Linked DNA regions of Macaca mulatta. The protein of the gene in region 6 interacts with the protein of the main gene of each other region in a pairwise test. Links are inferred from orthologs where the notes say so. Each region holds a gene or a part of one and is shown on either strand. Other genes may lie near its edges.

The links.
Region 1: the proteins of EWSR1 (region 6) and PRMT1 interact in a two-hybrid assay, tested with the Homo sapiens proteins (2 studies listed by BioGRID and IntAct). The link is inferred for Macaca mulatta from reciprocal best matches to the Homo sapiens genes EWSR1 and PRMT1.
Region 2: the proteins of EWSR1 (region 6) and ATXN3 interact in binary tests that used the Homo sapiens proteins (3 or more experiments, as listed by UniProt). The link is inferred for Macaca mulatta from reciprocal best matches to the Homo sapiens genes EWSR1 and ATXN3.
Region 3: the proteins of EWSR1 (region 6) and PLSCR1 interact in binary tests that used the Homo sapiens proteins (3 or more experiments, as listed by UniProt). The two-hybrid records come from large-scale screens. The link is inferred for Macaca mulatta from reciprocal best matches to the Homo sapiens genes EWSR1 and PLSCR1.
Region 4: the proteins of EWSR1 (region 6) and FXR2 interact in a two-hybrid assay, tested with the Homo sapiens proteins (2 studies listed by BioGRID and IntAct). The link is inferred for Macaca mulatta from reciprocal best matches to the Homo sapiens genes EWSR1 and FXR2.
Region 5: the proteins of EWSR1 (region 6) and MVK interact in a two-hybrid assay, tested with the Homo sapiens proteins (2 studies listed by BioGRID and IntAct). The two-hybrid records come from large-scale screens. The link is inferred for Macaca mulatta from reciprocal best matches to the Homo sapiens genes EWSR1 and MVK.
Region 7: the proteins of EWSR1 (region 6) and ATPAF2 interact in binary tests that used the Homo sapiens proteins (3 or more experiments, as listed by UniProt). The two-hybrid records come from large-scale screens. The link is inferred for Macaca mulatta from reciprocal best matches to the Homo sapiens genes EWSR1 and ATPAF2.

What each region holds. Positions count from the first base shown.
Region 1 is NC_133424.1:62,129,659-62,133,687, reverse strand, and holds the start of PRMT1 (protein arginine N-methyltransferase 1), read right to left. Parts: upstream 2,801-4,029; 5' UTR 2,787-2,800; coding exon 2,751-2,786; intron 189-2,750; coding exon 135-188; exon of another isoform or gene 131-134; intron 1-130. UniProt on the Homo sapiens protein: Arginine methyltransferase that methylates (mono and asymmetric dimethylation) the guanidino nitrogens of arginyl residues present in proteins such as ESR1, histone H2, H3 and H4, FMR1, ILF3, HNRNPA1, HNRNPD, NFATC2IP, SUPT5H, TAF15, EWS, HABP4, SERBP1, RBM15, FOXO1, CHTOP, MAP3K5/ASK1, MICU1 and NPRL2.
Region 2 is NC_133412.1:165,340,782-165,344,281, forward strand, and holds part of ATXN3 (ataxin-3), read right to left. Parts: intron 3,321-3,500; coding exon 3,156-3,320; intron 2,623-3,155; coding exon 2,578-2,622; intron 487-2,577; coding exon 401-486; intron 1-400. UniProt on the Homo sapiens protein: Deubiquitinating enzyme involved in protein homeostasis maintenance, transcription, cytoskeleton regulation, myogenesis and degradation of misfolded chaperone substrates.
Region 3 is NC_133407.1:49,526,796-49,530,776, reverse strand, and holds the start of PLSCR1 (phospholipid scramblase 1), read left to right. Parts: upstream 1-1,181; 5' UTR 1,182-1,331; intron 1,332-3,981. UniProt on the Homo sapiens protein: Catalyzes calcium-induced ATP-independent rapid bidirectional and non-specific movement of phospholipids (lipid scrambling or lipid flip-flop) between the inner and outer leaflet of the plasma membrane resulting in collapse of the phospholipid asymmetry which leads to phosphatidylserine externalization on the cell surface.
Region 4 is NC_133421.1:9,081,700-9,085,199, forward strand, and holds part of FXR2 (RNA-binding protein FXR2), read right to left. Parts: intron 3,168-3,500; coding exon 2,997-3,167; intron 1,955-2,996; coding exon 1,876-1,954; intron 1,617-1,875; exon of another isoform or gene 1,533-1,616; coding exon 1,423-1,532; exon of another isoform or gene 1,190-1,422; coding exon 1,103-1,189; exon of another isoform or gene 804-1,102; coding exon 581-803; exon of another isoform or gene 361-580; coding exon 163-360; exon of another isoform or gene 74-162; coding exon 1-73. UniProt on the Homo sapiens protein: mRNA-binding protein that acts as a regulator of mRNAs translation and/or stability, and which is required for adult hippocampal neurogenesis. Specifically binds to AU-rich elements (AREs) in the 3'-UTR of target mRNAs.
Region 5 is NC_133416.1:116,753,281-116,756,780, forward strand, and holds part of MVK (mevalonate kinase), read left to right. Parts: intron 1-46; coding exon 47-137; intron 138-514; coding exon 515-631; intron 632-3,500. UniProt on the Homo sapiens protein: Catalyzes the phosphorylation of mevalonate to mevalonate 5-phosphate, a key step in isoprenoid and cholesterol biosynthesis.
Region 6 is NC_133415.1:22,286,369-22,290,383, forward strand, and holds the start of EWSR1 (RNA-binding protein EWS), read right to left. Parts: upstream 2,801-4,015; 5' UTR 2,739-2,800; coding exon 2,726-2,738; exon of another isoform or gene 2,720-2,725; coding exon of another isoform or gene 2,694-2,719; exon of another isoform or gene 739-2,693; intron 660-738; exon of another isoform or gene 1-659. UniProt on the Homo sapiens protein: Binds to ssRNA containing the consensus sequence 5'-AGGUAA-3'. Might normally function as a transcriptional repressor. EWS-fusion-proteins (EFPS) may play a role in the tumorigenic process.
Region 7 is NC_133421.1:19,594,443-19,597,942, reverse strand, and holds part of ATPAF2 (ATP synthase mitochondrial F1 complex assembly factor 2), read left to right. Parts: coding exon 1-62; intron 63-1,875; coding exon 1,876-1,973; intron 1,974-3,500. UniProt on the Homo sapiens protein: Plays a role in the assembly of the F1 component of the mitochondrial ATP synthase (ATPase).

The DNA.
Region 1 (4,029 bases), on a different chromosome or scaffold from region 6:
GTGTTTGGGGTCCTGCAGTAAACTGGTTTGAAGCAAGAGGGGTATGGTTAGACCTCAAGAAAGGGCCAGATGTGTGGCAAAATATATTGATGTGGAGGTCGGGGTGGGAAGGGGTCTCACAAAAGGATATTTACTTCTTCAAGAGGCGGCTGGAGGCTCATCCCATTAGCCAAGGTGGCTACAAAATTCTAGGAGAGAGTAACAGGGAGAAAGGATTAGCTACTGGGAGTGGCTGCGGGAGGGCTGGGCGCGGGGACCTGGGCTCTGGCGGGGTGGGGGGGGGTGGGGGGGGTGGGGTTTCCAGCAATTCTCCTTCTTGGCGGGGAGTGGTGGCAAAGAGGGCAAGTAATGAGGTGGGGTGTTTAAGAAAGGGATGGGAAAAGTGAGGGGAGAAGAAAGGGGGTCTCCTATCCCAGCTGTGGCTGGAGAGATGGTGGCCTGCCCCCTTGTTGCCCCTCTCTGGCCAGGCAGCTGACCACACACCTCCCCCATCCAGGCCAGGGGAACTGGCACCCACCCCCGCCAGCTGTCGCTCCCTCTCATCACCTAATCTCCCCCAGATTAGGTGACACTTCCTGACACACACACCCCTATCCCAGGGTGCCATGAATAGCAGGAGGGAACGAGGCTGGCAGGGTATGCCCACAGGGCATCTGCCACCTCTGCAAACCAGTCTCATGTCTGAGAGGATTCCAGAATAGAGGTGTGGCACACGGGCACTTCCCCAGAGCTAGTACCCCAGCCCCCAGCTCCTGCCTTGGACTCAGGAGCCCCAAACAAAACCAGCTGGAACCAACCCGCTCCCTTATGACCCTCTGCCCACGAAGGTAGGGTCCCATGGAGGATGGGCAGCTCCTGGACCCTCTTAAGAATGAGCGGGCTCCAGAAAGTGGCTTGGGGGCGCGGTGGCTCACACCTGTAATCCCAGCAGTTTGGGAGGCAGAGGCGGGTGGGTCACCTTAGGTCAGGAGTTTGAGACCGGCCTGACCAACATGGTGAATCCCCATCTCTACTAAAAATACAAAAATTAGCTGGGCCTGGTGGCGGGTGCCTGTCATCCCAGCTATTCAAGAGGCTGAGGCAGGAGAATCGCTTGAACCCAGGAAGCGGAGGTTGCAATGAGCCGAGATCAAGCCATTGCACTCCAGCCTTGGTGACAGATTAAGACTCCGTCTCAAAAAAAAAAAAAAAAAAAAAAAAAAAAAGTAGCTTGGGGAGTCAGCCCATCGCCCCCATTTCAGACACCCATCCCAGGTCCTGAAGACTTCCAGGTGCGGCCAAGCCTGAGGCCACCTCTGGGAAAGTTATTTCCTCCGCCCACAGAGCCCCAGGTGCAGGAGACAGCCAAGAGGGTGCGAAGTCATTACAGTGACCCCTGGGAGCTGCATCCTGACAGCTTACAGCTGACCTGCCCCCCCAGTCAATGCCATGGGTAAAGGGGTGGAAGGACAGAGGCCCCATCAGATTACATCTCTTCCAGATGTGACCACTCCAAGAAGGGCCACGTCACTGGCCATGACCTACTAGGCTCCAAACACCCTCCCCCCAGCTCTCCCAAGCCAGCGGGGATGCCTATAAGAAAGGTGCTGCGGGGGTTTCCCGCTGGGGCCCATTTATCACCACCACTGAAAACTACTGCCAGACAACCCCAGCCCGAAGGCTTAAAACGCAAGACTGAAACCTCCCCCACATGGCTGCACGAGAACCAAACCTCACTTGAAACCATTTCAGGCACCCACCCTCAGGACCCCGGGGCTCAGGACCCCTACACAGGGCTTCAGGAAGGGGGAGGTCATCTCCCGCCCTCACAAAGGCCCAGGAGAGAGAAAGCGCTCCAGCAGAGGGTAAAGCTCTCAGCCTACGTATTTCCCACAACTCCTTCCCAGCGGACGTACCCTCCTCCCTCCGCCCTCCAGGAAGAAATCCGACGGGAGGTGGGCTTCAGGACACGCCCCATGAAAAAGATGTCCCTCCCACACACCCAGAAATGGCCACAAGGGGGTGCACGGCGCCTATTAGTGGGAAAATCTCCATCTAGATGCCCCACCACCACCCAGAGGGAGGTCACAGGGGCATGCCCCATCCCCCAACACCTAAAGCCCTGGGTGAGGGGGAGAACTCTAGGAGGGGAAATGGGGTCAGGGGGGCCCCATTCTTGGTTTTCCTCCAGTCCCTAATCCAGAACGCACAAATCCAGGGCCGATATCCCAATAGATGCCCCTGGAGCTCGGAAGGAGGTTGTAAAAGGCACTGCTCCTCCCAAAAGACACTCTACATCGTGGAGGGCCCCAGGTCGATCCCACCCCACGACGTGTGCCCGGGTCCCTGGGTAGGAGGGCTGGGGGCCTCAGGAGGGTCGGACCCCCTCCCCGCCCCCCCGGGCGCCCCTCCCCGGCCGGGGGCGGGGCCTTTGTCCCGCACGTGGAGCCCGCCGGGCCACCGGACTCGGCACACCCCCTCCCCACCCACCGCGCCGCGGCCACGTGGGGGCCTGGCCGGAAGCGCCCCCAGCCCTCCTCCACGTGGGAGGGGGGATAAGACCCTCCGCTAGGCCGGATGCCGAAGGCCCTTGAAAGCTAGGGAGCCGTCACCTCAAACGATATCCCCGGATGTGGAGCGTGCGGCGCCCCCGTGTGCGGCGGGGGACCTCCAACCCCATGTCGCCAACTTAGAGCCCTTTCCCCACCACAGAGGCGTGAAACATCGACCCAAAGCCGACCCCCGCCCACGGCGGCGCTCCAAGCGCTCACCTCCATGATGCAGTTCGCGGCCTCGGCTGCCGCCATCTTCACCCGCAACTACTCCTCCTCCAGCCGCCAAGACCCCCCCTTTCTCCTCACTCCCCCGGGACCGCCTTATACCAGAGGGTCCACGGCCCGCCTACCGCGACCCCGCTGGAAGATTTCATTGGCAATGGAGGCGGCCCGTCTGAGAATACCGTCTGATAATTGGCTGGAGAATACGTCCATCATAGGTCAGGGGTTTGCCAACACTGGCGTCCAGAATCCCGCCCCCTCAAGTCGACCCGAGATGGGGAAAACTGCCCGTCTATTGCAAGAAGCGCGACTGGTGATTGGGCAAAATCCACGAGGAATGCCCGCCCCTTTACCCCCAGCACCGCCTCAAAGCTTCCCGGGGAGCCCCGCGCTAAAGGGGCGTCTTGAAACAACTGTCCATCACCAAAACGACCCGCCTCTTAATCGCTGCCATTGGTTTATCCGGAAGTGACGTCACGCGGCCTTTCACCCTCGCCAAGCGGCCAGTCTCAAGGAGAACACGACAATTGGCCCACGGGTGGGGAAGAAGGCGGGGCTTCAGGCACCAACGATTGGCTCAAAGGAACGATCACGCCTAGTCCACTCGGTGGATCCTCCCAACCCGGGGGGAGTCTCGAGGAAAAAGGGAGCTTGTGCTCATTACCTGGGAGAAAAACTGAATCAGTGAGAGGCCCAGAGAGAGGAATGGCATCGCTGGGGTCCCCAAGCAAGTGAGGAATAGGAGTCCGCAGTCAACACATTAAATCCCTAGCCTTTGACATAATCATTCAAAGTTTTTAAAACCCATCAACCCCTCTCAAGGTACTTGGTTTTTGCCGAGTCCCTCCCCCTGCCAGGACCGCCCACCTCTCTTTGTCTTGTCAGCTTCTAAACGAGAATCAGAGCGCAGCTTAGGCACCACTTCCTCCGGGAAGCTTTGCTTGATTTGCAGGAAAAGTTCCTAGTTGAATGAGGCTGAATGCAAAGGGCCGAATGCGTGGGTCCTGCCCCTCCTCTCTCTGATCCCTCTGCTTCCCTCCGCTCACACTCCTCTCCAATCCCGGAATGAGCTCGCTCTTTGGTTTCTGGGCCTCGGTGCAGGCTATACTCTCTGGCGTGCCGCTGGCAAACGCCTGAGACTTAAAAATTTCCGATAGGATTCGGGCGCAGTGGCTCACGCCTGTAATCCCAGCACTTTGGGAGGCGGAGGCGGGCGGATCACTTGAAGTCAGGAGTTCGACACCAGTCTGGCCAACATGGTGAAACGCCCATT
Region 2 (3,500 bases), on a different chromosome or scaffold from region 6:
TAACTTGAAATATTGAATTCATACTTATGTTGTCTACTGGCAAACATTATATAAAATTTGTGATAATTTAAGATTAGATTTACAGTTAAGTGTCACTGATGTTTTTAAAAGATCACACAACCATATGAACGTCTCTGCAGCAGCTTAGTGATGCCGGGCCAAAAGATGGCCTCACGCACCACTTACGGGGCAGCTCTGTGCTGCCACAGACACTGGGGTGCCAGGAAGGCTACAGGGCAGATGCTCATGGACATCACAAAGGTGAAATAGGAAAGTCTGAGGGAATGAAACAGGGAACATCAAAACACAAGTATTCCAAATATATTTCTCTTCTTTAAGAAATATCTTTAAAAATCAAATTTGGGAAAAGAAATGTATGAAATGCAAAACAAAATCTTACATAGGATCGATCCTGAGCCTCTGATACTCTGGACTGTTGAACAGGATTAGTTCTAAACCCCAAACTTTCAAGGCATTGCTTATAACCTGTTAAGAAAAATAGTAACTTTTCATAAGCCAAACCACTCCATTCCAAATTGAAGAAGTATAGCTATGTCAGTTGTGTAAACACTTTAAGAAGTATAGCTATGTTAGTTGTGTACCTCATATATAAATTTCTCTAGAAGGCTACAGGTTTTTTTTTGTTTTTTTTTTTGTTTTTTTTTTTTAAGACAAAGAGTCTTGCTCTGTTGCCTAGGCTGAAGTACAGTGGCATGATCTCGGCTCACTGCAACCTCTGCCTCCTGAGTTCAAGTGATTCTCCTACCTCAGGCTCCCGAGTAGCTGGGATTACAAGCATGCGCCACCACACCCAGCTAATTTTTGTATTTTTAGTAGAGACAGGGTTTCACCTTGTTGGCCAGGCTGGTCTCAAACTCCTGACCTTGTGATGTGCCCGCCTCGGCCTCCCAAAGTACTGGGATTACAGGCATGAGTCACCACGCCCAGCCGGCTATAGGTTTTCAAAAGTGTGTGTGTGTATAGATATATCACTAAATCCATAAAAAACATACACATATATATTAGAAGAGTGCTTTTCATACCAGGTCTCTGAGATGTTCCAGAAAACCACACAATTCCTACATAAAACTGTCTCAAAAATCCAGATGTATGTATATTCTACCCATAAGTGCTATTCTTAAAACTAGTCTACTATATACATCTGGTAATTTGGCTGCCGTGGGTGCTACTTTAGAAAATGTATATTCAACTTACTACTTGCAATGTCAGAAATCGTGTCTACCAAAATAAGTTCTCCCTGGGCACTTAAACTGAAGTTTCCATAGGTATCAGACTTCCAGGGTCATGGGCTTGCCACTTGTAGAAAAAAACAAAATGCAAACCTGATTATTTCAATCTGTCTGACAAAAAATGGGAAATTTCTGAAAATTCACTATCTACCCTCCAAGGTAGCCAACAAAGAAGCAAGTCAACCAGGTACCGGCAAAGACAGAAAGTGAGTGCAAGGCAGTGGGTACCAAGAGCAGCAAGGCACAAATAGGAAACGCCAAGTGCTGGGCCTACTCTGACCTCTGATTCCAGCCCTGCAGTAGCCATTACCTGTTAACAGTGGCACGGTAAAGCACTAGATGGAAATGCTGGTGGATGAGGAGGAGTCCAGGAGGGCAGTACAAGAGAAATACAAACAAAGGTATCTGCAGAGATAGGTCGCTCAGGAGAGGTTCTGAAAGACCTCTGGATACAACTCACAGTGTCAGAAAAGAATGAAAGACATGCAGATAAAAGAATCTTTCAAGTACATATATATAACCACCAAAGAACTCAAAGAGAAAAATCAAAAGCCACAGACCATAATAAGGAAATCCAGTCTGGTAGGCTGATTTAAAAGGATGGTAGCAAGGTACTGCATTTTCTTAAGTTTACCCAACAAATGGTAAGTTTGAGACATTGGGACTTATTATAATTAAGGGTATTTGGTTTTCTTTGAGACAGAGTCTTGCTCTGTCACCAGGCTGGAGTGCAGTGGTGCGATCTTGGCTCACTGCAACCTCTGACTCCCTGGTTCAAGCGATTCTCCTGCCTCAGTCTCCAGAGTAGCTGGGATTACAGGCTTGCATCACCACGCCCAGCTAATTTTTGTATTTTTAGTAGAGACAGGGTTTCACCATGTTGGCCAGGATGGTCTTGATCTCCTGACCCTGAGGTCCGCCCACCTCGCCCTCCCAAAGTGCTGGGATTACAGGTGTGAGCCACCATGCCTGGCCAGAATTAAGGTTATTATTAGCATCCAGATGCAAATTAAATAATCTTTCTCAAAAAGGAATTTTTAAATGCCCCACTCTAATATGAAGATTCTACAATCCTTTCATGTTTATCTATATAAAAATCTAGTACTCTAGTTGGCCGGGCATGGTGGCTCATGCCTGTAATCCTAGCACTTTGGAAGGCTGAGGCAGGTGGATCACAATCTGGTGATCTAGAGTATAATCTTATACTCTGTAGACATGATCTATTAGAAGAACTTCTGAAGGTCGCCTTGTTATAGTGACTATTGAAAGGCTGTGAAACGGGGCCTGGGATGTAAGCAACACATAGTAGATGCTTGTGACTACTTACCTGAATAGAGAAAAAACCACTGTCATCCATATTTCCAGAAGGCTGCTGTTAATTTTGACAGGTAGTTGAAGCACGCGTGGGGGTGGGGAAAGAAGGATACAAACTGTCATTAGCGTGCATATTTAAAATAACATCTTTGCATTTCCATTTCCAAAGTTAACAGTGCAGTTATAATTCACCAGTCAGATCCCTATAGGAAGAATGGCACATCCTTTTCTAAATAGTATCTACGTTTTTAAAAGAAATGTAAGCCGGGTGTGGTGGCTCACACCTATAATCCCAGCACTTTGGGAGGCTGAGGCAGGTGGATCACGAGATCAGGAGTTCCAGACCAACCTGACCAACATGGTGAAACCCCGTCTCTTACAAAGATACAAAAAATTAGCCAGGCATAGTGGCGTGTGCCTGTAATCCCAGCTACTTGGGAGGCTGAGGCAGGAGAATTGCTTGAACCCAGGAGGCGGAGGTTGCAGTGAGCTGAGATTGCGCCATTGCACTCCAGCCTGGACAACAGGGCAAGACTCCGTCTCAAAAAAAAAAAAAAAGAAAATGTGACTTAGTGAGTTTAACATCAGTACCTGTAAAAACGTGCGATAATCTTCACTAGTAACTCCTCCTTCTGCCATTCTCATCCTCTCCTCCTCATCCAGCTGATGTGCAATTGAGGATAATTCCACAGGGCTAAAATATTCTCCTTGCAATAAATTATTCAGGCAATGTTGAGCACAAAGTGAGCCTTCTTGCTAATATTTCCAAAAGAAAAAATTAAAATGTGACTTATTAAACAGAATTGCACAGTATTTTCCCCTAAATAATTTAATCATTAACTTTTCTTTCTTTTTTGAGACACAGTCTTGCTCTGTTGTCCAGGCTGGAGTACAGTGGAGCACTCTCGGCTCACCACAACCTCTGCCTCCTGGGTT
Region 3 (3,981 bases), on a different chromosome or scaffold from region 6:
AACCTGCAAAACTGCTTTGCCACATGGAGACCAAGCACCCTGCGTTAAAAGACAAGCCTTTGGAGTTTTTTTGTTTTGTTAAAACAAACAAACAAACAAACAAAAAAACAGAAACCATGAAAACATGAACACAAAGAACACATAGAAGCAATTATTGAAGGCCACCACGTCATCAAATGTGTCTGCACTGACAGCATCAGTATATATTACAATGTAACAATAATAGAAATAAAGTGCACAATACATACAATATGCTTGAATCATCCTGAAACCGTCTGCCACTCGACCCTGGTCCATGGAAAAATCCTCTTCCGTGAAACTGGTCCCTGGTGCCAAAAAGGTTGGGGACCACCGGTTTATCCAGGGTCATCCAGGTTGGAGTAGGGTCAGGAGATATGGGGAAATTTAGGTCAAAGAATTCAAAGTTACAAACATGTAGGATGAACAAATGGGAAGACCTAATGTACAACATGAGGGCTATAGTTAATGATCGTGGTATTCAGGATTTATGCTAAATGAGTAAATTAGAGCTGCTCTTGCCCCAAGGGGGGAAATGTGTAATTATAGGAGTTGATGGATATGTCATACGCATAACTTAAATACAGACAATAAAAACTATTTTAGTTTAAAAAGGAACAATATTTATTAAAAAATAAGGTGAGCTCTTAAAAACATTTAAATAACTGCCTAAAAAAATAAAAAATAATATCACATAATTTAATAGAAGGAAAGAAAGAGCAAGACAGCAAGAAAGAAAAGGCACCATAAAAAAAAACAATTTTGACCACTCCTCATTTGTAGTCTAAGCTGCCTCTGCTTCCTTGCGTTGAAAAGCCACGGGCTTCCGAGGGATGGAGGTCAAAGTCAGAGTAAAGAAAGTTCCCGGGGGAGGCCACTCCCCAGCTGATGACTTTCCAGTTCCAGTTAGTGACAGAGTCCCAGTTCCTCTCCTTAACCACCGGTCAAAAGTCTCTGGAGTCTCTCCAATGAGCAAGAAAGCAAGTCGGGGGTAGGGGAGGGGCCTCACAACTGGTGGTGGGTGCAGTCCCTCCTCCAGCTTCTTCATCCTGCAATAGTCCCGCGGGTCCCCCGGCGCGAACGCGGGAACCAGGAAAAGGAAACCGCGTTGTGTACGTAAGATCCAGGAAACTAAACCAGTAGCCGCGGCTGTTGGCGCAAGGGTTACTCGCAGACCCTGTTCCGGCTGATTTCCGAGAAGGTTGCGCAGTAGCCGTGCCTTGCAGTCTAGAGGCGCAGGAGAGGAAGCCACCGCCTGACCCCGGCTCTCTAGACCTCGGCTCTCTCGGGAGCGGAAACAGCGGCAGCCACAGGTGCGCGAGCGGCTTTCTCTGCCGCCTCCCCGGGGCTCGGGCGCGAGAACTGCGCGGAGCCTGCGCTGGGGCCAGGGCCGGGATCAGGTGTGGGGGCCAACTTACGGGGAACGGGCGCGAGGGCCAGCCGGTTGTGTTTGCTGCTCTGGGGGTGGAGGATGTGGGGTGAAGGCTGGGGCCAGAAATGCAAGAGACCTCTGAAAGGGACCCTGTAAGTGGAGCAGATGCACGGCAAGGGGCCCCAGGCGGCCCAGCGGCACCTGGGCTCACCCAGAATCATTCGAATGAAAAGGGGTGTCCTGCCTGAAAACGCCTCGCGGGGCTCGGCTTCCCCTTAGCTACACTGCTCTACAGGCAGAGAGCGGCGCTGAATCCTGGGCAGAGACTGGGCTCGGGAGCATGTGCCAGCATAGTGGGGCTATTAGAAGGGACGGTTAATACAGCCTGCAAGCTGGCATTTATCAGTAAGTATTCACTGAAGTCCGCCTGGAGCCCACATCTATGCTAAACCCTCTACAATACTAGCTTGGAAAAGATAGCGGCGGTATCTAGCACGGTTCCTAAGACCATTAGCTCCAGTCAGGCTCCCCGACTTGAAATTTGGCCTCTACTGCTTCACATCTGTGGATTGTCAGCCACTTTCTTAATATATATTCTTTCCATTGCCTCATCTCTGAAATTGTGTAACTATTAAAAGAGCTACAGAGTATTATATGTGTTAATGTAAAGTTCTTAGAGCAGTGCCTGGCACTACAGAAAGTACTCAGTGAAAGTGAGCTTTTATTATTTTAAATATTTGACAAAGTTCCTGCTTCTCCAAGCTGACTCTCCGGTTCCCATGTGGTTTCATTCATGCACTGTTATTCCTGGAAGTCTTGGCATGGCCACTTCCCAGTTCCAGGAACAGGCAGTCGTTGTTTTTTTTCTGGCTTATCACATTGAGATACATGGTTACTACAAGTGACACTTAAACGTGTCAGGCAGTTTGGGGCCTCCTTTCTTGAACTTTTCCTAAGAGCAAACTTTTCCCTTAATGCCACCCTGTTTACAACCATAGTAGGGCTTTGAACAACGAGAAAATGCAGGGAAATGAAAGACATATAAAGGGAAATGAATGGATTTCTGCAGTTGGATAGCAAAGTGGCATGTGAAATAGCTGGTTTATAGATCAAACTGCCTTTAGATCTGTAAAGGAGCTTAGAGTACAGGTGGAGAGACATCAAATGTGTGCGAGCAGACGCTTATGTACCTCTCCGTCTTCATCTCTAAGAATGTCTCCCTCTTCTGCTCTGTAACCTCACTGGTCTTCCTTTCCTTGAATGAGGCATGTTCCTCCAGCTCAGGAATTCTATCTATGAAGTTCCCTGTCTCTATAATGCCCTCCAACACCCCACCCACCATACCTCCGTAGACTAGTTGATTTGAGATTTCCTTCAGCTCCCAGTCTGACTTTTCTTAAACCCCCTACCACTGTTTAAGTTAGTGTCCTGTAACCCTTTCTTGTAGCAACATTAATTTTATTGATAGCACTTAGAGTGTTTATAATAATCTATTACATTCTTAATTGTCTGTCTCCCTAGTGTCTAGGTATTGTGCTCTAGTGCCTGGTATAGTGCTTTGCATGCTCTATGCCTTCAATTAATTCCTTAAAAACCACACCAGCTTTATATTTAGTGAATATTTATATAGGAAGTATTTCTATATGTATATATGTGTATCTGTGTATATACACACTCTATAGCACTACCCTGAATAGTGCTAAATTAAAAAGCCAAAACACTTTTTAGTTAATCAGAACTAACAGTTGCACTCTTCAGTTTTCCATATGTTCTTTTAATAAGTCATTAGAAAAAAATGATGTCTCCATATGTTGTCTGCTGCTGTAGCAGAATACCTGAGACTTGGTAATTTATAAAGGACAGAAATTTATTTCTTACAGTTCTGGAGACTAGGAAGTCCAACATAATCATGTGTTGCTTAAAGACAGGAATACATTCTGAGAAATGCATCATGAGGCAATTTGGTGGTTGTGAGAACATCATAGAATTTACTTACACAATCCTGGATGGTATAGCCAGCCTTCTATTTAGGCTGGGGTGGTGGCGTGGGGGGTGTTGAGGAGAGTCAGATTGAGAGCTGAAGGAAGTCTCAAATCAATTAGTCTATAGACGTGTGTGTGTGTGTGTGTGTGTGTGTGTGTGTGTGTAGTGGTGGAGGGCATTATAGACAGAGGGAACTTCACAGGTAGAAGTCCTGGGCTGGGTGTGTGTGTGTGTGTGTGTGTGTGTGTGTGTGTGTAGTGGTGGAGGGCATTATAGACAGAGGGAACTTCACAGGTAGAAGTCCTGGGCTGGGTGTGTGTGTGTGTGTGTGTGTGTGTGTGTGTGTGTGTGTGTGTGTAGTGGTGGAGGGCATTATAGACAGAGGGAACTTCACAGGTAGAAGTCCTGGGCTGGGGGTGTGTGTGTGTGTGTGTGTGTGTGTGTGTGTGTGTGTGTGTAGTGGTGGAGGGCATTATAGACAGAGGGAACTTCACAGGTAGAAGTCCTGGGCTGGGGGTGTGTGTGTGTGTGTGTGTGTGTGTGTGTGTGTGTGTGTAGTGGTGGAGGGCATTATAGACAGAGGGAACTTCACAGGTAGAAGTCCTGGG
Region 4 (3,500 bases), on a different chromosome or scaffold from region 6:
TCTGAATCAACCGGGGGCTCTGGTTCAGATGTGTCCAATAGGCTGTAGGGATTACTGTCTGGATCCTTCAGCACTGGTCAGAGGAAGAAGAGGAGAAGGTGGCATTCAGGTGCCCATCATCTTTTGTTTTGGCCCATATTCATGAACCCAGCTGTCTGGTACCTGAGCTAATAGATGAAGAATTATATCTCGAAGTGGGCCGGGGGGCAGGTGGGGGTCCCCTACCCCGGCCCCCAATCGGCCGCCTCCGGCTTTCTTCCCCTCGGGTTGGGGGATCCCTGTCGCCAGGCCCAGCTCGGTTGGGTTCCTCTCTCTTCTCTGACTCAGTCTCTGAAGCTGTAGACACATCTGAGCTGGGGCCTGAAGAACACAGTGGGATTTATTCACGGCCATTCGTCCTACCTCAGGATCCATCACATTCCCCAAAATGGAAGAATTCTCCCTCTCACTCACAAGTCCCCCAGCCAATCAATCACTTCTTTATCATCTCCATCCCAGATTTCCCCAAACTTCCATCCAGACCTCTGCCTCTACCCACAAGCCCTGCCACTCCCTGCCTCCTGTTCCCAAGCTGTCTCACCATAGGCAGGACCGCCTGTCCTCCGGCCACGGCCACGGCCCCCATAGCTGCCCCCATAGGTTCGAGTCGCATGGAGGGAGGAGGAGGAGCTCTCATCGGTGCTATATCCAGCCTTGTCACTGCCACCGCTGCCCCGCCCACTCCCAGGAGGGCGAAAGCCCAGCCCAATCTGCCGAAGCTGCTCATCAATTTGCAACCTCTCCAAGCGAAGCTGCTCTACCTCCTGGTTGGGTAAAAGACGGAAGAAGAAGCGAAAGGAGAAACAAGATCAGTGCCTTTCTTCATGCTTCTCCACCCTGACTGTCCCTCTATATCTAATCTCTTAGGAATGCAAGGAGAAGGAAGACGCTGGCTAAACAAGGAAAATTCTGGGACCCAACCCTATAGCCCCAAATTTCCACAAATGTTTTCTGTTCTACATGGAGAGACAAACAGAGCACCAAAATTCCTGAGTTGACCCCCACAGCAGTCTTAGTTCAAACCCTTTCCACACCCAGCTCTGTCCTCTCCCAGCCTGGGTACCTGCAGGTAGGAAAGGTGATACTCCAGCAAAGCCTGGGCATTGCTGATGTTCTCTCGGGTGCCAACAAAAATGAAGGGAACCATTCCCTGGAGAGCAGAGAGCAGAGACGATGGATCAGAAAGGAAAATGAAATGGAAGGATTAACCCCGCCCAGTGTCCTAGGGGAACCTGCCCAGTGGGATCATTCTGGACTCTAAATCTACTAGGGTTAAACAAGTTTCCGTACTCCACCCTCTCAAAGGACAATCCCAGCCCTAAGAGGACAATCCCATTTACTTCTGGAAACCAATCTCTATGCCCACTTGCCCCGTACCCATACCTCCTCCCTGGGGTTCTTCTTGTCATTATCCCCTTCCACTCGAACCCTCACCACACCAGATTTATCCACAATCTCCTGGATCACTTTCCCGTTCTTTCCAATCACTTTGCCTGGAATAAGTAAAGGAGGAATTAAGCCTTTTTTTTTTTTTTTTTTTTTTTTTTAGGAAATAAGAATAAAGCTGATAAACCGTCTTCCAGCCTCATTTTCTTTATATGGATTCCATTTACTTCATTCTCCTGCTTCTAGTTTTCTGATGTGTTTTTACAGGACAAAATGTTACAATCCCTAGAAATTTATTCTTTCATTTTTATCACTCCCATTACAGACTGTTTCTCTGTCCTTGTGAAACTGAGAGTCCACAGGGAGGTGCCAATCCTGGATACAAGCTCAGAATCACTGTAGAGAATCTTGATTCTGACCTCTAACTGTATATACACGCCACCAACTCACCAACCAGGTTCCTGGGCACTTGCACTGAGTCCTCAGAAAACTCCAGGTAGCTTCGGGCCTGTCGGCAAGCCTCGGGAGTCTAAAGGAAGAACAGCGGGGAGTTGTTACTAAAACAGAAGACCAGCTGGGTGAGGTGGCTCGTGCCTGTAATCCCAGCACTTTAGGAGGCTGAGGCAGGCGGATAACTTGAGGTCAGGAGTTCAAGACTAGCCTGGGCGATATGGTGAAACGCTATCTCTACTAAAAATACAAAAAATCAGCCAAGCATGGTGGCTCACGTCTGTCATCCCAGCTACTCAGGAGGCTGAGGCAGAAGAATTTCTTGAACCCAGGAGGTGGACATTGCAATAAGCTGAGATTATGCCACTACACTCCAGCCCGGGCAACAGAGTGAGTTAGACTCCGTCTCATAAAGAAATAAATTAAACAAATAAATAACTTTAAAAAAACAAAAAAAACAAAAAAACAGAGGACCTTGGCCAGCCACAGTGGCTCACACCTGTAATCTCAACAGTTTGGGAGGCTAAGGGAGGACTGCTTGAGGCCAGGAGTTAAAGACAAGCTTGGGCGACACAGATCTGGTCTATTTTTGTTATTTTTTGGTCTCACTCTATTGACTATATTGCCCAAGTTGGTTCAGTGGCACCATCATGGTGTATTGCAGCCTCGACTTTCTAGGCTCAAGTGATCCTCCTGCCTCAGCCTCCCAAGTAGCCAAGTAGCTGGGGCCACAGATGCATGCCACCATGCTCAGTTAACGATTTTTGGTTTTCTTCGGGGGTAAAGACAGGGTCTCTCTATGTTGCCCAGGTTGGTCTCAAACTCCCAGGCTCAAGCGATCCTCCCCTCCATCTTCCCACTTCAGCCTCCCAAGTACCTGGGACTATAGGTACGCACCACCACTTCCAGCTAATTTTTAAATTTTTGTAGAGATTGGGTCTCACTATATTGCACAGGCTGGTCTCAAACTCCTAGGCTCAAGTGATCCTCCCACTTCAGCCTCCCAAGGTGCTGAGATGACAGGTGTGAGCCACTGTGCCCAGCCTGAGGCTTATTTTCTACTTCGGCCTCTCTTCCCTCTATCCACTAAGAGACCCAGAAGAAAGACATCCTTTGCTGACCTCCCCATAGATGCGGAAAGTGCAGGTCTCTTCACCCAGCTCAATGGCAGTCACCCCAGGTACTTTTCGGGCCTGCTGGATGTTGGCACCATGAGTCCCAATTGCCAGTCCCATCAGGTCCTCTCGCACTGTGAACTCCTCTTGGAAGGCTGCTGCCAACTGCTTGCTTGTCTGAAAGGAAAAGTCACTGTAGGAATCATGGTGGTAGAATCTCAGAACACAGTCCCAGGCACATGACCCTTAGCATAACTTCAATAAGGAAAACTATGTGATATTAACAGAAAGCTAGAACCACTCTGGAGTCCGCCGACCACCAGGACCTGTGTGGAAAGGTCAGGAACTTTTTGTTTTTCCTTTGAGACGGAGTTTCACTCTGTCGCCCAGGCTGGAGTGCAGTGGCGCGATCTCCGCGTCTCGAGTTCAACTGATTCTCATGCCTCAGCCTCCCAAGTAGCTGCGACTACAGGTGTCCACCACCACTCCTGGCTAATTTTTGTATTTTTG
Region 5 (3,500 bases), on a different chromosome or scaffold from region 6:
CTCCACCTTGAGTTCAGTGTGGACCTTCCTCCTCTTCACCCTGCAGGCCGCCGGCTCTCCAGATCCTGCTGACCAACACCAAAGTCCCTCGCAATACCAGGACCCTCGTGGCTGGCGTCAGAAACAGGCTGCTCAAGGTGACTCTTGTTCCATTCCCGGGCAGGTTTCAGGGTGGCCAGGACACAGTTACATCTGGATTTTCCAGGTTTCCCTCTGGCTGATGGATTCTAGGGGGTGTGGTGGGCCTTGAGGCCCCTTAGAGAGGTGGTTTTGGCAGAAAGGAAGGTACCATCCATACCTGTAGCCTGGCCAGGAAAACAACAGTGATCGGGCTCGTTAGACACACTGACTTTGCAGCTGGGAAGGCAAAAACCAGGCCCAGAAGAGAGGCGGTTTCCCCAGAGGATGGGCGCAGGCTGTGGGAACACCTCCTCCCTCCACCCCACTGCTGGGGCAGCTGTGCTGCATCTGCCTCCCCCAGGCCTCACCAGCCATTCCTTCTTTTTTTCTCTAGTTCCCAGAGATCGTGGCCCCACTCCTGACCTCGATAGATGCCATCTCCCTGGAGTGTGAGCGTGTGCTGGGAGAGATGGGGGAGGCTCCAGCCCCAGAGCAGTACCTCGTACTGGAAGTAAGAGGCTGTCTGCAGGAACCAGGGTTATTGAGTCCACACCACTGTCCAAGGCAGTGGCTCTGCAATCTGGCTGTGCTCAGAATCCCCTGGAAGCCAGCACATAGAGGCCAGGCCCTGCCTCTGGCCTGTGCTCTCAGAAGCCCTTGGCCTGGGCCCAGGTCTGTGTGTGCCACACAAGCGTATGTTATTTTCAGGCCTCTTCCCAGGTGATTCTGAGTAATTGGGAGAGAGCAGGGAAGGAGGTCAGGGCCTGGCTCGTGCTAAGTGCAGTGGAACAGGTTTGGGGTCACGTCTAAGGAGCTCCGGCCCACGTAGGTAGATGGGGATGTGGCTGATAACAGAGCTCTGTCGGTGCAGGCGTGACTTCTTACTTGGTCCTTCTCCTGCTTCATGGGTGCATTCAACAACTACTTGTCAACTGCCTGCTTTGGGTCAGACAGGTCCTAAAATTGTTTTTTCATCATCATAACCCCATCCACTGCCATTTGCATAATTCTAGTGTACAGGTTGTGACCTCGTACTTTGGGTGTGGTTAGGCCTGTGTGTGAATCCCAGCTCTACTTCTGCTGGATGTGTGGCCTCGCTGGAGTGTCTTAAGAATGCTCAGATTAGACGGGCACAGTGGCTCACCTGTAATATAGCACTTTGGGAGGCCAAGGCGGGTGGATCGCTTAAGCCCAGGAGTTCGAGACCAGGCTGGGCAACACGGTGAAACGCTGTCTCTACAAAAAATACAAAAGTTAGCCAGACATGGTGGTGCGTGCCAATAGTCCCAGCTACTCGAGAGGCTGTGGCAGGAGGATCACTTGAGCCCAGGAGTTCAAGTTTGTACCCTGGGCGACAGAGTGAGACCTTGTCTCACAAAAAAAAGAACACTTGGAGTCTCATGGGTGACACACAAGCACAATGTCTGGTGTGCCATGAGCTTAGGGAAGCAAAGGGTCCAGGCTGCCCCTGGACACAGTCTAGCTGGCCTGGTGAATATGGGCTGATGTTAGCCAGCTGGCTGCCCTTGCGGAGTGAGAGGATCGAGTGGTCCCCAGCTGCCGGGGCTCTGCAGCAGCCATCAGTGAAGGGACAGGAGGGGACCCCTTTGAGAGGGGTGTGCGATCTCCATGTCACCACAGTCCCCCCTACTCTGTAGTCATTGCCTGGTGCCTCCCGGTCCCCCTGTGGGCATTCGAGTCTGTAGCCCCTGTGCTGAGTGGAAGCTGCCACTAAAAGCTTTTTACAAATCATTTTTTTCACTTGATCCTCACACCCACCTCCCTGTGAAGTAGGTGTCTTACCCCTATTTCACAGATGTCAAAACTGAGGTCTGAAGGAGGACTTCCCCCAAGGTTATCCGGCTAGTAAGTGGCCGAGCCAGGGGTCCAGCTGACAGACTTGTCTGTCCCTTTATTCAACAGATCTGTCGTGAGCACCTACTATGTGCCAGGGTAGAGCCTCCATTGAATTCCTGCGTTTCTGCCCTCATTCCCTCAGTCTTTGTCTTCCTAGCTCTCGATTCCTTCCACGTAGAGAGGAGGGAGCGCAGTCCTCCCCGAGTAGGAAATTAATAATGATAGAATACTGCCTAAAATACACCCTGTCGAGCCCCTGGAGAATGCCGCAGAACAGCACGTTGATTATACATTGTGTGTATTTTTGGCTGTGGCAGCCGCTGAAATGTGCAACTCGGCTGCTGGACAGCTTTGCACTCAAACCAGCGAACTGTTCTCCTGTGTCACAACCTGTCATCTGATCCTTGACAGATTTTGGATCAGAATGTGACAGGTGTCTGGAACCTGCCTCGGCAACGTGACACCTGGCGCTCAGGCGCAGAGAGCGGCCCCCAGAAGTCTTCTCTCACATCCAGCCCATCGGGCTGCTGAGAGGCACCCGGGGCTGCCACCAGGCCATCAGGCCTGTCAGCTCATTTGTCAAAAGTGCTGAGCTTGGCGCGGGGCGCGGTATGAGGCAGGCTGTCGGGGGGGCCACCCCAACCCTGCCCAACTGGCCGTCCCCACGCGGGACAGCCAGGTAGGCCTCCGCGGAGATGCCTCAGTGATTGGCAGCTCCTGGTATACAGGCGATGCAGGTGCCCCGGAACAGAGCTTCACACAGAAGTGAGGAAAATCAGGAGTGCTCTCAGAGGCAGGGTAGACAGGAGCTTCACGTCAGGCAGACCCGCCTTCCCGTGCCAGCTTGGTACCTACTAGCCCAGCGATCGTGGGCAAGTCACTTCTCTGAGCCTCTGTTTCCCCTTTTGTAAAGTGGGGATGATGGTAAGGTAACCATAAAAGTACTAATAGCACATATCTTGTGCCAGGCATTGAACAGAAAACTCACCTTGTTTCATCTCAGGGCAAAGAAGCAGATACTTTTTTTTTTTTTTTTTTTTTTTTTGAGAAAGAGTCATCTTGCTCTGTTGCCCAGGCTGGAGTGCAGTGGCGCAATCTCGGTTCATTGCATCTTCCACCTCCCAGGTTCAAATGATCCTCATGCCTCAGCCTCCTGCCTAGCTGGGATTACAGGCATGCGCCAACATACCTGGCTAAGTTTTGTATGTTTAGTAGAGACGGGGTTTCGCCATGTTGGCCAGGCTGGTCTCGAACTCCTGACCTCAAGTGATCCACCCGCCTCAACCTCCCAAAGTGCTGGGATTAAAGGCATGAGCCACCACACCCTGCTGAGGCAGATACTCTTATGACCCTGGTTTACAAGCGGGAGACAGACCCAGCGCAGAAGACCTTGCCCGAGGACACACGACCAAGAAGGGGCAGCACCGAGACTCAAACACAGGCCTACTTGACTCCAAACCCCGTGGTTTTTACTTCCTGAAGGCTGGGACTGTGGCTGGGCGTCCATCCTTAGAGCCCCAGCA
Region 6 (4,015 bases):
TTGACAGCTCTTTATTGCATCCACTTCACGCAATCCAAAGCCAGCCTCACAATCCCTCGGGCGGCCTGAGAGAGCTTTGCTGAATCCATCTCTTCACGTTGGCTTATCTGTCTACCCCTCTATACGTTAGTGGACTACTTTCTTTCCTTTGTACACACTCGTAACTCAAAACCCTGAATCACCAAGAGGATCAAATCAACTGCCCAAAGGCTACCTATAATGAAAAAATAATTTGTTCATGGCAATCTTAAAGGCATTTTCAATAGCACTACAAGTCATACTCTCTGTGACATTAAAACTAAATGCAAATCATTTCTTCCACGTGGCATATACAAAATATACACAGCAATGAATCATTCAATATCAAATATTTTAATCCACGTTTTGTTAAGGTCTTTGAGAAATGATTCTAAATCACCGACATGTAAGTACAGTTTGCAAGACGACTTTTACACAATAGCAGTTATGTAAAACATAAAACTGGCAAAGCTGATATGGAACAACTAATGACCTCTTAACAGTGAGAAACCAAAGGATTCGGCCCTATACTAACTGGTGGGCTATGGAAGGTAGCAAATTTGTTTCATGAACTTACGTTTATCTTCCTAGAGCACACAAACATCACTGGACCTCAAACAAGCTATTAGGTTGGTGCAAAAGTAATTGCGGTTTTTGTCATTAAAATGGCAAAACTACAATTACTTTTGCACCAACCTAATACAATTACAAACTGGTCAGATTATTCAACAACCGTGTTTGTTTTTAACCCCCAAAAGTGAGCCAAAGACTTCACTAAAAATCACTTCACTGTGATTGAGGGGTGGGGGTTCTAGACTGCAGCGAGTCTTTTCTACATGAGATACACACGAGGAGAGAAAACCTCTATTATTATTAACCCAAGGCAATGCTTTAACACTTTACAGCAGTCACTATGGAAGTTGCTTCACACTACCTGAGTTGAAGTCAGCATGGGACAAATTTGTGGAATGGTTATGCAGGAAGGTCAGAAAGGCTCAAAAGCTTAACAGGTCTAGCCTAACTTCTGTATTTTACAGGAAAGGAAACTAAGGCCCAGATTACTTATGTGACTCTCTGAAGGCCCCCCAGCCAGGCCTAATGTGTTTACTTTGTGTCAACAGAAACCACAACTGTAATTCTAATACAGTACAAGCACATGGTAGTTACTAGTGAACAAGGTTTGAACAAAGTTGACTGAAAAAAAGACATGTCCGGCCATGCAAAAATGTCAACGCACACGTTATGCCTTTTCAGGCTTTTGCAGAGGAGAAGAGGGTGGATAGGGCACCTAGGAAACCACTTTCCACCAGGAGGTTTAGCTGTGGTATTTCAGAGTCCTCTCTTCTACAGGCCTTCTTTGGTATCCCAGCAAGAACACCCAACACTTACCTGTTTACTGACCACACAGATGGGGTGAATTCTTAAACTGTCCTTAAGTTGCTGGATTCTGGACTCTAAAAACTCTGGAGGGTCCAGAGCTTTTCCCGTCTTCCCTCTCATCTTCTCCCACTGTCTCTAAGGCCTGGAATCAGGTGGCCTGAGAATACCCCCAGAGGCAAAAATGCTCCAGCCTGCCAATTTCCGCGGGTTAGTGTACCCACAGCTTGCGAACTGCAGGTGGTGGCTAGGCGACACTCTTAAATGCTCCTTCCATCAATGACCACTCTACTCCCATTTAGGAGTTCCCATCCGGGGCTTGCTTTCAAGTGCCTTTAAGATCGCCTCTACTGGCCTCTTTTCCCTCACCTCTGTCGACCTACGAAATCAACAGGCCTGCCGGCCTAACGCAGGCGAATAAACGTGCGAGACCACTGCTGAAATATAATTCAAATGCAGGCTCGGCCTTTTGTTCCTCCTAGGTCAGAGAGGCCAGAAATACCTTCCTGGTAGCATTCTCGTCTCTCGATCCAGGCTGGTCTTATTATACAACGGATGTCCCTCGGCGTTTGCAGAAAAAGGGCCCTGGGAAGCCACTTAATTGGTTTTGGGGGAGGGGAGGGCGTGAATTAATAAATAACGATAAAAATAGAGAAACCCAAAAAAGTGGCAAACTGGGGGCCCTGGAGGAGGGAAGCACATTCTGTCTAAAGCCCAGGAGGGCAGAAGTTCGGCTTGGGGCTGGAAGACGCCGAGGGGGCAGTTCGGCAGCGCCAGACGCCCCAGCCGACTGGGCCTTAAAGATGACGGGGCTCCCGCTCATAGGCCGGCACCCCTCGGCCCACAAATCCACGGTATCTTTCTTTGCTTTTTTCCCTGGTTTCTCGGGAAACCCTGAAAACGCGGAGGGAGGCCTCACAGGGATAGCAGCCTGCGGCCTCCCCGGCGGTTTCACAGTGACCGGCTCGAGGCCTGGCCAAATCCTCCGCTTCACGCAGGGCCTCGAAGGCCGCAGGCCCCGCCCACGTGGCGGGAGGCCCGGAGCGCAGGGCGCGAGGACCGCCACACAATGGAGGCCAAAGCGGGCCCCGCGCGCCACCGCCGCAGCGAGCCCCCTGCGCGCCGCGGGCGCCGGAAGATTCCAGAACCGGCCCGCCCGGTGGGGGGAGGGGAGAGGAACGCGGATCCCCGAGCTCGTCGGGTCGCGGCGGGTGCCTCAAACCCCTCTCGGCAACTCCACTCAGTCTTCCCAGCCAAGCCCAGAGACGAACGACCCCCAGTTTGGGCGTTCCGGCTACCGCCAGCGCGACCGCAGTTCCACCATACTCACCCGTGGACGCCATTTTCTCTCCTTCCTCCTCGTTCTCTCAACGTCCGTCTCCCTCTCGCTTTCCCTCTAGGCGCCGCAATGCGCAGGCGCAAATCCCGCAACCCCGGGCGCGACCATCAGGCCAGGCCACGGGGGTGGGGTCAGGAGGGATGAACCACCGCTTTCTCGTTCTTCGCGTGCGCAACCCTTGTCCCAATCCTCTCTAAAGAGCGCCCGACGTGACACTCGGGCCAAAATAGCACCTAAGGGGCCAGAGCGCCGGTGAGCGGGTCTCAGTGTGAAACCGGAGAGGCTCTCTTCACGAGGCTAGGTTGTTTGGAATGGTTCCGTCCGCTGGCTCTAGGGACCGTCGCTGAAGAGTCTGCCCTGCAGGCAGACGGAGATCGGCGGGAGGGCTGGGGGAAGGGACCCGGACTAGAACAACTGCTGACTAATCCGCGGGCCGCGGGGAATGGGTGGCGCGCCAGCCGGTCGGCCGGGGTCACGCGGCCGGGTGTGCGCGGAATGGATTCAGGGTTCCCCGATCTCGCCCGGGAGCTAGAGTCCCGACTCCCAGCCCGGGTCCCCGACCGGCGTTTCGGGGTTGCTGGGCGCGCTCTGCAGTGAGTACCCGGGACGCGTGGCCCGGGCCAGCGGGGAAGGGCCCCGAGGCCGGTCGGCTAGGTGGGAGGCCTCGAACGCCGTTTCTGGCCCCGAGACCCCGTCTCCGGTAACGGTCGAGGTGGAGCACGCCCTTTAATCATCCCTCATCCAATACCCTTGTTTCTACAGAAGGGGAAACTGAGGTCCAAGGAAATTGAGTATCTTTGCAAAGTCCCCAGCTGAGTTCGAACCAGACAGATCCTGGGACCCCCTACTCTATCCGCCACCCGGAAGAATCTTCGTCCTTGTCTTTCCATTCTGCCCTCCCGGCTTCCCAGTAAGGTAGGCAGGGCCTGGTGGTGCACTGCCCGTTTCATAGATTGAAGAAAGTGAGGTCGAGGGGGCTCAAGTCCCAGTTCCGAGTGTCCACGGGCAAGCCTTTCACCCTTGCTAAGGCGCCCAGAGCTGGGGAATGGTTGTGAGGTGAGGATACAGGAGGAGGTTTACGGTGGGTGTCTTGGCCCCAAACCCTGCCTCCAGGCAAGGCTGGCCCTGCCCACCTCTCTGGACCTCTAACCCCAGCCCCCTAGCTGGATACCCGGGTCTACGAAGGGCAGGGTTCACCTTCAAATCCCTCAGCAGGACCAGGAGTCAAGCTAGTGTCCTTTTTTCAGTGAACATATATAAAGCACTGGTTGTGTGCTGCGA
Region 7 (3,500 bases), on a different chromosome or scaffold from region 6:
TTGCAGTGGCCACTGAATGGGATTCCCAGCAGGATACCATCAAGTACTACACCATGCACCTGGTAACAAGTTCACAGTGCGAATCTGGACCCTGAGACCCACCCAGGGCTTCCTAGGGTAGATCCCTTACCAAATTCTGACAAGGCCCTGGGGGATGGTCCTTTGCCTACCTGGGCCCCAGGTGTTCACCTCCTCTCGAGTCACTAATGTGCTAAACTCTTTCCTTGTCTGGCCTGGCTACTTGCAGTTCTCTCTCCTAGGAACACTGTGCTGGATGACTGGTTTCTCCTTTGGTTTCAGGACAGATGTCACCTTCACTGACTCCCCAGCTCTCTTATTTTCTATGACAGCAGCTGGCCATTTGTTTTGTCAGCACTTAGACAATTTATAATTGTTTTATGTTTGCACATTTATTGTCTGTCTGTCTCTACTGCCTGGTAAGCAACAGAAAGGCAGGAGCCATGTCTGTTTTACTCACCAGTATCTGGACAGCCACTAGCAGGTAGTTTAGTTGGTACTTAATAAATATTAGTTGACTATAAGACCCACTGGAGGCAGATGGGTGAGGTGAGGAAGACTCCCTATAGAACCAGAGCCCCTCGTCCACACCAAAGTGGCTCATCTAGGCACCAAGGCTGCCTGGGGAAGGAAGGGCCCAGCCAGACTCATTGGTCCAGCCTCTGCAGCTTCTAAACTGTAACCTTGGGCAGGTTGCTGCCCCTTTCACAGCCCCGTATTCCCCATCTCCTAAAGATGAGTGATAATAGTACCCACCTCACAGAGCCATGGTCAGGATGAGATGAGATGATGCAAGAAAGCCCTTGGCATGGTCCCCAGCACTGACTGGGCACTGAGTCAGTGTAGGAGTCAGCTGCTGTCATCCCAGTCGCTGCTGTGCTCAACCTTTGCAAACTCACATGGGCCTCCTGCCAACATCACAGCCTGCTGAGGTGCTGGCCTAATCCTTGACAACCTAGTGAAATTGGGGTGATTGGGGCTACAAACGAATAGGGTAACCTAAGCAGCCTGTTATTGACAAGGTAAGTCTGGAAAAAAATAATATATATATATTTTTTTTTAAACAGAGTCTCGCTCTGTTGCCCAGGCTGGAGTGCAATGGTGCAATCCCAGCTCACTGCAACCTCCGCCTCCTGGATTCAAGCAATTCTCCCGTCTCAGCCTCCCAAGTAGCTGCGATTACAGGCGCCCACCACCATGCCTGGCTAATTTTTGTATTTTTAATAAAAATGGGGTTTCACCATGTTGGCCAGGCTGGTCTTGAACTCCTGACCTCAGGTGATCTACCCATCTCAGCCTCCCAAAGTGTTGGGATTACAGGCATGAGCCACCACACTTGGCCAAAACAAATAATCTTAGTCCTGATTTGCATGGTCTGTTTCCCTCCTTTCTAAGGTGTAAGGGAGGCAGCTGGTAAAGGTTTCCCGTCAGATTTGCGCTCCATCACTGATACGTGTCTTATTAACTGTATTTGATGATGTACTTAACCTAACCTGTCTGGGCCTCAGTTTTCACATCTCAGATGGGCATAATAATAGTACCTATTCCAAAGGGTTGTTGTGAGGATTAAATACACTAGAACCTGGTAATAATGTGACTGTGGGGAGGTTCACTAATCATGGGGCTGCTGCAAGCTTCCCTCAAGTCCTGTGAGCATCGACAGAAAGCATTTGGCATGGAGCCTGGCTGTGGCACACTCTCAGTAGCTGTGCTGCTGCTCCGGTAGTGCAGATGCCTCTGGTGGAGGGCTGTGCTGTGGTGCTATCTGCTATGTGTCAGATGAGGTGTCCTCAGGAAAGCAGGGCTTTTGTCTGAGCCCCACAGGCAGTGACAGGGTGGTTTTTGCCTTTGATTCAGACCACATTGTGCAACACATCCTTGGACAACCCAACCCAGAGAAACAAGGATCAGCTGATCCGGGCAGCCGTGAAGTTTCTGGACACTGACACCATCTGGTAATGGACATTTAGATGGGCATTCCCCTTGGATTGAGACAGTCCCTGGGGCTATTTTTCCTGATTTGTCCAGATGGTTATCAGTGGAAGAAGAAACCCTCTCCATTTATTGCAAGGACAGGGAAGGTGGCCCACTTGACTTTGGCATTTGGCTGCTCTGTAGCCCCTTAGGAGGAGGACTGCTCAGGCTACAATGGTGTTAGAACATGGCCACCCCTCTTCTCTAGCCTAGAAGCTGCTCCTTAGGCTGGGAGGGTGGTTATGCAGCTCTTGCAGGTGCCGTGACCACAGGCCCCTTAGGCCTGGGGGCGCCTGTGACCTTAAACTTCTGCCCACTGACACTTTCTCAGGTAGACATCCTTGGCACTATGGATGCTGATAAGTAGGAGTGTCCTTCTCCAGTTCTGAATTCTCCTCTGTGTCTATATATCTTGGCTAATTGGTCAGTGTTGCCGAAGGAAAGTTGAGAAACAATGGAAATGATTGAGCAGCACGGTGCTTGCTAGCCCAAGTGCTCTAGTATCCTGAGTCATCTCACGATGACACAGGAAGTCAGCACTGATGACTGGAGGCATGCTTTCGAAGTGGGTGGCCCATAGCTAGTGGGAAAGCCCGCTCCATTTATATTAGGTTCACTTGACTTCAGGGAGCAGAAACCCATTCAATCTAGCTCAGACAAAAAGAGGATTCTTGAAAACTATACAGGGATCCTGACAGGAAATGAAGGACGATCGGGCCACCAGGAAAGGGAGCTATAAGATCCAATGTCAGAGCTCCTCCCTGTGCCCTATTGGGGTGAGCGGAAGGTGAGGGAGGAAAGGTTGGCTGCCCATCTGCCCCTCCCAGCATAACTCATGACCTCTCTTCCCCACGTTGCTTACACAAGATGGTGGATTTCCATAATGCCCACTTGGGTTCCCATCCCATAAAACCCTGCAGCTCAGCTCCCCTCAGCTGACTCATGCCTGTGTCTCTTGGTCAAACAAATGACACAGCCTGGCCTCTAGCTTGGTCCCATCAGGTCTGGCATCTGTGCCAGCAGCTGCATCTGTAGCCAGGAGGTGGATGGGCTTGTGAGGTGTAAACAGGCTATTTTGGTCTGTGACCAGGGGCACAGTCTCTTGGAGGGGGTGAGGGTAGAGATGCAAAGACTGAGCATCTGGCACAGCATTCCCATTCAGCATCCAGGTCAAGCGGGTGTGGACCCAGGGTTGCAGTTAGTAGATTGGATCTGCTTTAGAATGACAGTAACATAGCGCAGCAAGCTTGGACCTGTCAAATATTTGGGGGCATTTAGGGTAGTGGTTCTCAAACTCAGGCTTACATTAGAATCCCCTAGAGGGCTTGTTAAAACAGATTGCTGGGCCCCACTTCCAGAAGTTCTGATTCTATAGGGATGCAGCCTGAGAATGTGTATTTCTAATAAGTTCCCAGGTGATGGTGGTGCCAGGGCCACACTTTGAGAACCACTGCTTTAGGGGAAAAGACTTGTGGGACTGGGATGGTGGTGGTGAAATTTTTGTTGTT